3 linked regions of the Rattus norvegicus genome follow. The protein of the gene in region 2 interacts with the protein of the main gene of each other region in a biochemical or structural test. Links are inferred from orthologs where the notes say so. Each region holds a gene or a part of one and is shown on either strand. Other genes may lie near its edges.

The links.
Region 1: the proteins of Dlg4 (region 2) and Net1 interact in a biophysical measurement, tested with the Homo sapiens proteins (2 studies listed by IntAct, with this or other methods). The link is inferred for Rattus norvegicus from reciprocal best matches to the Homo sapiens genes DLG4 and NET1.
Region 3: the proteins of Dlg4 (region 2) and Ctnnd2 interact in a test that uses a peptide from one of them, tested with the Homo sapiens proteins (2 studies listed by IntAct, with this or other methods). The link is inferred for Rattus norvegicus from reciprocal best matches to the Homo sapiens genes DLG4 and CTNND2.

The regions. Positions count from the first base shown.
Region 1 is NC_086035.1:71,268,755-71,273,105, forward strand, and holds the start of Net1 (neuroepithelial cell-transforming gene 1 protein), read left to right. Parts: upstream 1-1,478; 5' UTR 1,479-1,559; coding exon 1,560-1,652; intron 1,653-4,351. UniProt on the Homo sapiens protein: Acts as a guanine nucleotide exchange factor (GEF) for RhoA GTPase. May be involved in activation of the SAPK/JNK pathway Stimulates genotoxic stress-induced RHOB activity in breast cancer cells leading to their cell death.
Region 2 is NC_086028.1:55,238,291-55,242,583, reverse strand, and holds the start of Dlg4 (disks large homolog 4), read right to left. Parts: upstream 2,801-4,293; 5' UTR 2,745-2,800; coding exon 2,715-2,744; intron 1-2,714. UniProt on the Homo sapiens protein: Postsynaptic scaffolding protein that plays a critical role in synaptogenesis and synaptic plasticity by providing a platform for the postsynaptic clustering of crucial synaptic proteins.
Region 3 is NC_086020.1:83,596,446-83,600,040, reverse strand, and holds part of Ctnnd2 (catenin delta-2), read right to left. Parts: intron 2,622-3,595; coding exon 2,504-2,621; intron 1-2,503. UniProt on the Homo sapiens protein: Has a critical role in neuronal development, particularly in the formation and/or maintenance of dendritic spines and synapses. Involved in the regulation of Wnt signaling.

The sequences.
Region 1 (4,351 bases), on a different chromosome or scaffold from region 2:
GCCTTGTAGGAGTCTGTCTCCTCATCCTTGTGCTTCTTACTCAATCCTGTGAAGCAAGAGGCATCGGAGGCCCAGGGAATCACCGCCTTTAGACTTGTCCCTGTGTCAGGCGGGAGGGTGGCCCCGAGTGGCACTTGCTAGCTAGCTGCACAGCTTACTTGGAACTTGCAAAAGCTTCCTTTTCCCTGCCTCCCCATATAGCCTGCCATTACACACTAGGATCTCGGCTATAAGCCTACATTTTATCAGCCAAGTATCTACAGTTGTGCCTTTTCCATACAGGGCTTAGTTTATGCTTGTAAATACTTCACAATAGCCTTGCAGTTTACCAGCATCTCATATCAGCACACTGTTAAGATGGACCTACTGTGCAGAACACACAGGAGGGAGTTCCATTTATCTCAGGTCCTATCTGGAGAAATAATGCCTTTCCATAAAGGAACGTTTTTGCAAAGTCAGCAACTTGCCTCCTGGGTGACTTTCCCTGGGGGGTGGGCTTGTTCTTCCCCTATAAAATGCAACGTTCTGTATGCAGGTCGTTGACCCCGTTAAGACCACATCAAGATAAGTTTAGGGAAGGATCCTGATGTGTGTTTTTATGGCATAAAATGTCTCACACCAAATTGTGAATTGTTAATTTTTTAAAACAGAAATGTCTGGTGACCAGCATACTGAGCCTAAAAATTTGAACTAGCGCAGGCTAGCTTTGCCCAGGACAGGGCAGTCCAGAATAGAGTGAACTGAAGATGCCACTGTGCTTCCGTCAGTCCTCGAATTTTTTGTAAAAGGTGGGGAGGGAAGCAGTAACTACTTTAGTTTTTCAGTGCACAAAGTAACAGATTTACTGTGACATTTTCACTTATGCCTCTCCCCGTTACTCCTCTGTCTCCCCCACCCTCTGCCCCGATAGGAACCTTGTTTTAAGAGGTAGGTAATTTTGCAGCTGTGCTTAAGCCGATGTGCTTAACTGGGCTCTTTTTACTACATAATTTTTTTTTTTTTTGGAGCTGGGGACCGAACCCAGGGCCTTGCGCTTCCTAGGTAAGCGCTCTACCACTGAGCTAAATCCCTAGCCCCACTACATAATTTTTTAACCCAGAAGAAGTCTTTGCTGTTTTTATCCCATACTCAGTCCTCTCCAAGGCACTAATTTTAGAGAAAAGGATCTGTAACTAAGTGCTAGAGAAGCAACTGAGGTGTGTTCCCCTGGCGTTCACTCAGCCTCCTGTGGGCTTCAGCTCTTGCAGTGCAAGTTCCAGTGCTTTTTTTATTGAGAGGGACAGACGCTGCTCACAGCTACGGAGCAGCCTAGGTGCGCCCCTCGGCTGTTATCGGGAGTCACGTGGGTCCTGGCCCCGCCCCGGGCTCCTGAGGTCTGCGTGCGTGCTCGCTGCCTTTGCAGAAGCACAGCGCTCCACCGCGAGCGGGAGGCATGGGCGCATGGCTGCCAGGCCAGGCTGAGCACTCAGAAGAAAAGCCCGGCGTCTTGGCGGTGTTGCCCTGCAGGGCTGACTCGCATGTGGACTAACCCGAAAGACTTGAAGGGACACTTGTAAAGCATGGTGGCGCATGATGAGATCGGAGGTCTCCTGCCCATTAAAAGGACGATCCGGGTCTTAGATGTTAATAACCAGCCCTTCAGGGAGCAGGAGGTAAGAGCAGACCAAAGGAATGTTTTCCAACTCCGCAGAACTTCTAAGACTTTGCAACTTCACTTTTAAACTTTTAACCGTATTACGTCCTAAAATGTATAACTATTATAAGCAAGGCTGAAATGTGTTTAGGAACTGTGGTCTAAGTTTAAGCAAATTTTTTTATATAGCATAGCTAAATTTTGAAAAGTTACATACAAAGGCGATTTTAAATATATTTGAGTCTCTGAGTAAACGTTTCTCGTGTTCGGTATGGTTGTGGTTTTTTTCTAACTGCTGTTACTAAGTCTTGTGGACTGTTTAAGGGAGGAAGGAGAAATAAGAACAAGTGAGTAAAGTCCGACCTGGGATACGTGTTCACTTTGCTTTCCCCATACTTAAGCTTGCCCTCTTTTCCTCCGAAGGGAGGTTTGAGTTCAGAACACTCACCCTCTGCCTGCCTGGCTTTGCTTGAAGTCGTTTTGGCTTTCTCAAATCTTTATAAACATTTATGAAAAAATTATTTTATGAAATTTTATGTAATTTGTGAGTTGTTTGGTGCAGAGGTGTGTCCTGCTGCCTGGTCGCTTCCGTGGTAGAAATGGTTATGGTTTCAGCCTACCAGATCTTTTGATAGTGGTGATTTTGGGGGGGAAGGGGAGACATATGTAATTGTCCATTTTAATTAAACATGAGCAGTTTAATCACATGCCTCAGGGAATGTTTGTTCTACATGCATAGGCTGCCATCTTTGTGTGGGGGTTGATACTGAATTCTGTTATTTGTTTGGGTTCACTTTTCTTACATGTTATAAAATGAATAAGCATTGTCTGGGTAGAGAATGCTTCTTCATACAATTCTGTGAGTGAAAATACCCAAAGGAGCTATCTCTTAGGCCATCAAGGATGTGCATTTTTGTTAGTATGAGACATGGGCTGTTTTCCTGGTCCCTTTACTTGGAGCATTCAAATAACCAGGAACGGAGTCCTGGCTTCAGAACTGGTAACACAGCCCTAATGACCTGAGTGTAAAAGAAGAGAATACTTGGTGATCAAAACTCGTCTTTATCTTTCTCAAGGGAAAAAAAACTTTTTTTATTCTTGTTTTCCTGTTTTTAAAGTTGTTGCCAAGTGAGAGATTATATATGAGCAATCCAAAAGGAATAAAAAAAAAAAAGTACCATGATTCGATTGACTCTACAATATGCCCTGTAGTGAATGACATCATTAGGGGAAAAAAGCTACAAAAAGCTAAATTCCCCCAAGGGTTTCATCCAGCTGCTGGGTTTATCAATAAGATACATCCCAGTAAAGCTTTAAGGTAGACTTAACTCTGCTTATAGATACTCTGGCAATGTCCTAGGACACAGAGTTAGTGGGGGTGAACCATGAGAAGCCCAGGGCTAGGCAGATTCATTCCCTCATGTGATGGACGCGTAGTCTGATTAAAGATTAACTCAGCAAACAGCAGAGCCTCCTGAGCGGCTTTCCCCTTCCAAGTGAACCCTGACCCTCATCACCCTGCAATGGAAGCTCCTTGAGGGTGAGCCTTGTTAGCACTCGTTGTTTATTCTCCCAGATCTGCTGCTTGTCTTTAGGAGGGACTCTAAGCAAATCACCCCTGCCACCATTACAGAATTAAGCTGGGCCTGGCATGGTGGGGGCAGGGGAGGGGGTACTAGGGGGGAGGGGAGCCTTCGGGGGAGTGTGGGGCGGACTTTCATCACCTCCAAATATCACTACTGAGTCCTGTCCAGGAGAGGTGCATGTGGGTATAACAACAGCCTTATGATACAGATGCTCATGTCCTCAGTACATCAGATAGTACATCAGATAGCTGGGTGGTTCGCTTGGACCTGTAGAAGGACCACTTTTGCTTATAATTTACATAGCTCACATTGTAAGGCACATTCTCAAAGAAACAGATTTTGCTCCTACCTTTTTGCTGACTCTTGAGTGCCTAATCCGTTTCACTTCTCCGCCAAAAAGAAAAGTATGATCTTTTCTTCTACATTGTCTGTATCCTGAAACTGACAGTAGGCCATTTTACCTTTTTCATTATTTGAAAAGGAGTTCCCAACGGCTATCATGTTAGCCATTTTTGTTTGTATATTTTGGTTTGGTTTAGTTTAGTTTTTGGTTTGGTTTGGTTTTGCTTTTCTCAACTCACACTGGGTAGCCCAGGCTAGATCAGGCTGGCCTGGAACTGTTGCCAAGCCTCGGTTTAACCTGCCAAGTGTACACACTATATTAGGTACCCTGACTTTTACTTTCTAACTCACTGGGCAGTGCACCTTTCTAAAGACCTTCAAATGGATATTAAATATTTGGTGATTTACTGGGAAGTGAAACTTGTGTGCTTTGAACAGGGAAGAGGTGCCAACCTCTGTTTCCGAAGCACAAGAGTCAGGCAGCTGCTCTGTGTCTAGTTCATGCTGCAAGGCTTGCTTCGTGAGGTAATTCTATCTCCATTCACTGGAGACGCTTTGTGCTGTCTTTACTAAATGGAAAGGAATGCCCCAAGCTGCCCCTGCACACGGGTGTGTCACTCAGTCTGCACAGATGTGTGCTGGAGGCACTCACATGTGCCCTCGTCAGACAGCATCTGCCATTTTACTGCGTGTCTCAAGGCTTCTTGGTCAGCTCATTGTGGTTTATAGTTTAAGTTTTGCTTCCCAGTTAGTTAGTTGGAGGATGGAGGGAGTGGTTTATAACTCTGTT
Region 2 (4,293 bases):
AAGCCGACTCCGCCCACTTGCTCCATGAAACCACGCCTCCCTCCGCTTCCCGCCCATTCGCTCCCCCGGCCTCGCCCACACTACCCTTCCGCCACGCCCCTGCCGACCAATGAATGAAGCTATTGGACACATTGCCCCGCCCACAGCATCTTAGCTTTGCCCAATAAGGACCACCCAGAGGGCTTAACCACTTCGCCTCCAGGGCCCTGGCCAAATGCCCCCTATTTCTTCCCTACTTTCCCCCCAGCCTCCATTTGTTCTGCTCCGCCCTCCACCACCCTCGCCCTGCCCTCAAGTACGCCACGCAACTTCAGTCGTCGCTGGTTACCATGACAACTGCGGCAGCAGCGCGGGGAGAAGGGGGAGGGACGGGGGCGGAGTGGGAGAAAGCTGCTCAGAGATAGAGATACTGGCAGAGATCTAGGTACCGAATAAGACTCAGTGATAGCTGTAAAGCAGAGTTTCCACGGAGTACAGAGCTGAACATATATTAAGTATTCAAAAATGTTCCTTAAATTACTGCAGCAATTTATAAATATAGGCAACGAAAAATGGGAAGGCTGTCAAACAGACCAGGAGAGCTCAGTGACTACAAAGGCTGAGCACTCCCAATCCCACTCCCCAGCATTTTCGGAGGGCAGAAGCCATGTGCCCCCTGCTGGTTTCTCCTGGGCCACCCTCAACTGGCCTGGATAGAGAGGAACCACAACTCCCAACAGTCCTGTGGACCACGACGCTCTACTATTGAAGGATCTTGTACCTCAAGGCCTTATGGGAGTTGGAGTCCCTCCATCTAAGGCTGACAAGTTTTCTGACCAATGAATGTTGCAAACATGGGTCTCCAAACCTCAGTAAGACCTGAATACATGATCCTCTAGGCAAGCCTCCTACCTTCAGGGTTGCTCAATCATGTGTTCCATCGAACACATTGAAAACTGGAGCAGAGAAATGAATAGACACATCCACTCAGAATAGCTACCAGTGCTACTAAGCCCCTCACCCTTATTGGATTTCATGTGTTCATGTTAGAAGGAGAACTCACACATTCCAATGAGTTCCTATATACATCAGTACAAAGGTGATGACAGCTAGGTTGCCAAGGCCAGGGATTAGGCCTAAGGACAGAAGGCACAAAGAACACAGGCAGACACTGACTGAAAGAGGGCTAGAAGAACCGAGGCACAAAAATCTACTGAAAACTACGGGGGATAAGAGAAGCAGCAGCCTGGAAGAAAGCCCAAAATCCACAGACCAGGAGAAAAACAACCAGCCCTGTAGATGGGGTAAAGGATGCAGACCTGAAATCTTCAGTCCCCAATCTCTAATCATGTTCACACGTGCACAATGCATGTGTATACACATGTGTGAGTTTGTGGCAAGGAACATGTGTGTCCTCAGCTTCCTTCCATAAGAAGCTGCAGTTCCCACTAAATATAACCCCCTCCCCAGCCTGTGACTCACCCGGACCCCGCCTCCCCCGGCCCCCACTTCCTGTCCCACCCCCCAACCCCCAGCTGCCTGCCGCCCGCCCAAGCCTCCCTCCTCACACCAGGCATCTAGCCTGCCAGTCCCAGAGTCTGGGAGCAAGCGACCGACCTAAGCTTCTTGGGCTTTCATCCCAGATCTCCCACTCTTTCCAGGCTCTGACCACAGGGACACCCTTGTACCCTGTATGGATCCCAGTTCCGCCAGCCCTGCCCTCTTTCTATACCGTTTTACCCCAGTGGCCTCTTCACCTCACAAGCCTTCAGAGACCCTTAGATCCAGGTGTCCTCTCAAGCGTCAGGGTAACAGCCCCCCTCCCCATCTGCTATTCTGTTCTCTTGACCAAGGCTAGATAAAATGTGGGAGATGGGAATAGTGGGCACCTGCCTGGGCTACCCCCAAATTTTGTACCACCCACATGGTCCCCCTCCTCAACTACCTTCTTTTTATCCTCCTACCCCACACCTCTCATCCTTCTTACGAGATGACAACCTCAGCTTTGCAACCTTCTAGCTCCCATGGGAGTACCCTGAATCCTAATCCCACCTGGTCCATTCTCTCAGGTAAGGCTGCATCAGGCCTCAGCCCTCTGGAAACTCCCAGGTCACTCACTCTATTCCACATAATTAAACCCTAAATGTACAATTCCCTCAAATCAGGAGCATCTCAAACATGTCTAGCACAAGATGTTTTATTACCTGAAGGCCCACCCTTACCTGCTAGTTGACACAGCCAGACAAGCCAGACACAACCAGTAACCTTTACCCTTATGCCAAGAGACACCCCCCCAAAATTGGTCAATTGGTCAGCATCTTGAAATGAGCTTTTTTGCCCAGGAAGGAAGACAACCCTCCCCCTAACACACTCACATAGCCCACCTTCCCACATATATGAGCAGAACTCCCATGTGAGGCAGGCGGGCTTCTCCTTAAATAAATTGCCCTCAAAACACTGCTGATGAACACCAGAGCCCACCAAGACACCCCAAACACCAAATCAAATTCTCCATTTCTTTATAGGTACAAAATGATCACTCCAGGAGGCACCTGTGGACCAAATCCATCGTTTTCTCAGATGTGAACCCCAAAACTAAATTGTGACCCCTCTAATACATCTTACTTTAGATGCGCTCACTTCAGTGCCTGCAACCCTAGATAAGGCCTACCTAAGCCTTCTCCACAAATTCATTACCTACTCCCCCTCCCCACTGCTCCCCCCATCATGCTTACCTTGGTTGTCACTATACAGAGACAGTCCATGTTGGGGGGCCTGGCCGCGGCGGCGAGTAGGGGGCTCTGACTTCATTGGAGTTTTGTTCCTCCCCTCGGTGGGTTCTCACCCCTCCCCCCTCCGCACCCCACTTTTGCAGGGGGGGCCAGGATGGGGGGAGGGGTGAGAGGGGAAGGAGAAGGTTGGAGAAGAGAAGGGTAGGGGAGCGTGGAAGGGAGGGGGGACCCTAAAGGGGGCTCCCCAGTGGAGGGGAGGGGGCTTGAGGAGCACACCCCGATTCTCAGGAGGGGCAGGGGCACAGGGGGCTGGCAGCCCCGGAGTTCTGGGGCTGGGGCATGAGCTGGGGTGGGGGAGGGGATCTGGATTTCGGGAAGCCCCGGGGTATGCGGGGGTCTTGCCAAACGGCCAGGGGCTAGGGGCCGTGGCGGGGGAGTGGGGTGGGGGGGGTTGGAGATGGCAGCGGCCGATGTAGCCGCGGAGCCGAGGAGGGAAGGGGAGAGAGGAGGAGAGAGGAAGCAGGGGGAGGGAGGGAGGGAGCTAGGAGCCAGAATGGGGGGGTGCCTTGGCAGTGTTAACTCCTTCACTGCTGGCAGGAACCCGGATAATGGGAAAGGAGATAGAAGCACAAGCAGAGAGGCCCTACGGCAAACATGGAGACCTGGCTAACCTCGATGATGACATTAAAGACGAGGACGGATTTCATTCCTTAGAGGGAAAAGGCCCACATCTGAGATGAGAGCATCCCTGGCTGGTTGAGTGCTGGAGGGAGGCCACACCACGGGGTACGGGGCTGAGGGAGGGGCTAACATTAGAGAACCTTGGGGACCTAGTTCTCCCCTAGGAGTCACAGGAAGAAGTCTGAAAAGTAATTAATTATGACCTGGACTTTCTGGTGCTGAAATTGGGGCAAGCCAAGAAAGGGGAGAACGGAGAAAGGGTACAGGGCTGGCTGCCCACAGAAAGAGCACTGTCAGTGCCCCCGACTCCTCAGTCAGTACTAGGGATTTTGTTGCCAAGGCCCCTAAGTCTCAGTTTAAAATTAGCAAGAACGTCCTCATCCCTCCAGTCCTGCCAGCTTGAGCAGTCAGGAAGCCAGGCACCCACCATCATCACCTTACCTGACTCTCTAAGATGCAAGCCTCATAATAGTCCAGGATGTCTGTCACAGGAACAGAATTAAGTCACCTCCCAAACCTCAGGCCCCTCTGGCCACCCCTGCTACCCATGGCTCTGTGTGTTGAGAGACAAGTTCCTCTAGCTAGGATGGATGCTGCTGGGACACAGTGGGATGACCACAAAAGCAAGAGCCTGGACTAGGGGCTCTGCAGGATTCCAACCAGCCTAGAACCTATAACAGGTGACCCCATACCGCAGGCCAGCCCTTTCCATTGTGGCCCCTCAGAACACTAGCATTACTCACCCAGCAAGGCCTGGAAGAGGTCACTGTGCAGCACTGTGAGGAGGGGAGGTGCCCACCGCAATAGTGGCGGGGCCAGGAGCCAGAGGGCTGACCTGGGAGCTGGTAAAAAGCAAGTGACAAAGGATGGAGACCAAGCCACTCACATACTTAATCATCTA
Region 3 (3,595 bases), on a different chromosome or scaffold from region 2:
CCAGTGTTCACAGAACCATATTGTCAGAAGATACCTTGAACACAAATCTTCAGGGCGACAGGCTTAGACACTAGTACTTTTTTTTTTTAATTTCTTGGTAATCGTTATGCACAGTCAAGGTTAAGAAGGGCTAGATTTAATTCACCCATAAAGGTGATCAATTGGTAAGCCTATTGCAGTGTTATTTAAAATTTATGTTTATTTTACACACATGATTGTTTTGCTTGCCAGTAAGCATGTGTACCATGTGTGTGCCTGGAGCTGAGTGCCCAGAAGGGGCATTGGACCCTTTGGAGCTCGAGTGCAAGGCAGTTATGAGCTGCAGTGTGAGATCTGTAAACTGAACTCTGCAAGAGCAGTAAGTGCTCTTAACTGTCAAGCCACTTCTCCAGCCCTAAATGACTGTTCCTTTGTTATTGTTTTTGAGACTGGGTTTCACTTAGCTCAGGCTCATACTTCATTCAGTGTGGCCGAGGATAGCCTTGAACTTGTGATCTTCAAGCCTTTAATTCTGGGTGAGTGCCACCGCATCCATTGTATGAGGTGCTGGGGCTCGAGCACAGGGCATCCCACCAGGACTGTAAGGAAGCACCATGAAAACTGAGCCCCTGACATTTGTCTTCCATCTGACTTTATAGCTACATGAGCTTATGCAGGCCTCCTAAGTGGTCTATTTCAAAGCTCCATCCATCCAGGCAGGATTTTAAGCCATAATACCAACAGACCACAATTCACTTCTCAAGGGCCAATTACTTGTGGCCAAGGTTGGGTGTTTAGATTTGAAGGGTGGCAATGGGGCCCCAGTGGGGGTAATAAGATTCCAGCAGGCATCTTCATCAGTTGTTTCAAAGGTAATTCTGAGGCAGAGTTAGTGCTGGAAACCATGGGATCACGGGAAGCGTTCACAGCCATGCCATCCAAGTTCCTTTTAGGACATGTTCCGAGCTTGGAGACACTGTTGTTTGGTGTTATGGATTCCTGAAGAGAATATGTCTGCAGGGACTGACTGACTAAAACCTCTGTGACTGCAGACTGTTTGGAGTTTCACAGGTCCAGAGGCTCTACAATTTATTATGGGTGATCTTTAACCTATTAAATAATCATGCTTTACCTTCTCGGCCCCTCAGACCATCAGACCTAAGATCCCTTCCTAGCCAGGCTCTTGGATTTGGAATATACTAACAGAACTCTAGTTTTCTATCAAAGAAAGGGCTAAGAGTGCTGTCAGACAGCATTCAGGACATAAAATAAAGTAAACCACCTCCTCTGATTTTCCTACCAATGTATTTTTAATAAGTCCTGTTTTATAATTTTTCTGTATTTTACTACCTTAAAAGCTTCATAAAACTCCCTGTGACCAATCCCTTAAAGAAAACCAAGTCCTTTCTCATCCAGTGAGAATTGGGGTAACAGGAACTAGACTTTTTCCTTCTTCTTTTTTGGAGGGAAGTGTAGGCCTCAAGGGCGGAGGGGTGGACCTGGGAGGACTGAGGAGTATAATTATGGTTTATGATGCGAAATTCCCAAATAACTGGTAAAAAATATTGTGAAAAGAAAAAAAAAACTCCATGAAACTAGTTCCATGTCAAAAAATTGGAATTTGGAGTAATCTAAATCCATGCTCCCAGACCACGGCCACTCAAATCAGGCTCCATGGTAAACTCTGTCTTATCCCCTTTGAGTTGAGAGCTGTGGTGGATGGGTGTAAGGAAAACTATTGGTATTGAGTGGATGGAGAGACCAGAGAGTGTGCTTAACAAGCTCAATCCACACGCTCACAACATAGGCTTACTCTGCTCCAGATGTCTGTAACAGCAACTCCAGAGTAGCTCTTATTAAAGAGGGACAGTGTGTGCATATATTATTTTTAAAAGTATAGGTGACATATAGCTTTATATCAGGATTACTATAAGATTTCATTTTTCTAGCTGTTAATTAAACTAATTTGATAAAGACAAAACAAAATATCTCAAATACTGGGGAAGACAACCAATACCTAATTCTATTTCGGTCTATGAACTAAACACAGTACAGTGGCTTTGAGCCATAGCATGCTGGGAGCTTTGATTAAACAGTTTGAAAATCTAGGAAGGATTTTGTAAGATTTTAAAACATCTTTTAATATAATGAGTTATCAAATCTAAGAGAATTTTTGTCTTTAAAAGTATATATATATACTTTTAAATAATATATATATGTATATATATATATGTATATATATATATGAGATATGTGATAACTTATACTCGTCCTGGACACCAGTGATTTGAGTTAATTACACCAGTCTGAATTTTCACTAACTGCTGGTGGAAAATTCAAGTATTCAAGTGCTGGACCTCAGCTACCATGACCATACCTTTAGACAATGGTGGAGGTTATCAGGATAGAGCTCAGAATGCAAGCATGAAATACCGTGGTTGCTTCCCACAGCTCCTAGCATTTGTTTAATCTCTGGGGTTCCTTTAATCACTCAAAAAGATGAAGCTATGCAAACACCACCAACCTTGCTATCGATCTCACTGCTCCCCAGTGCAGACTGAATCACGTACAGCAAGGCATCCGTGAGCCCATCACACTCCCGCATTCTGCGGCGGGCCTCCTCTCCAGCTGAACTTACATTCCTGAAAAGCAAATGAACATGTCAGGGATCGTCACTGTGGTCTCCAAGAGAATACCCTTTCTTATATAAGGAAGCTTGTTTCCTTTCTTCAGTCTTCAATGAGGGTGTAGCTTTAATGAGTGAATGTGATTGCAGGAAACATATATCCAGCTAAGTCGTAAGCATCTACTGCAAATAGAGAATGCAGAATTCCCAAAGTGGTGTGTCAGAGTTCCAGAACTCTTGATAATTAGAAATTTCTAGGAATTCCAGAGATTTGCCTCATTTACAATTGAAGAAGTGATCAGGAACTTTTAAAACATTCTTCTGTAAGAAGTCTCAAGTATTTTCACAGACAGAGCTTCCAACTTACCAAATATTTTAGAGACTTTTTTTTCTGCCCTAAACATATACCTTCCATGGCCATGCTGGAAGTATATTTGTAGCAATTCATTTTAGGGCTATCATGTTTCTGTGTCATTGGAATGTCTCTGACATCGCCCATAGGCAGGAGATAGACCATACTCTTTCCCATCTTGCATATCCCGAGCTAAAGGCAACAGAAGGAACCTGACATAATACCTTAAATAGTTATGACACAGATGTGCATTCCTTTAACTCTATAACAGACACGTGATGATGTCCTAGTAGATGGAGAATCTCTGGCATGTGTAAGAGAGAATCCTTGGAGCACTTTAGTTATTCTGTCACTTAAGAATGTTCTTGCTAAATACAGAGGCGAATGCCAGCAGCAAACCACTGAACTGAGAATAGGTCCCCCGTTGAAGGAATCAGAGAAAGAACTGGAAGAGCTTGAAGGGGCTCGAGACCCCATATGTACAACAATGCCAAGCAATCAGAGCTTCCAGGGACTAAGCCACTACCTAAAGACTATACATGGACTGACCCTGGACTCTGACCCCATAGGTAGCAATAAATATCCTAGTAAGAGCACCAGTGGAAGGGGAAGCCCTGGGTCCTGCTAAGACTGAACCC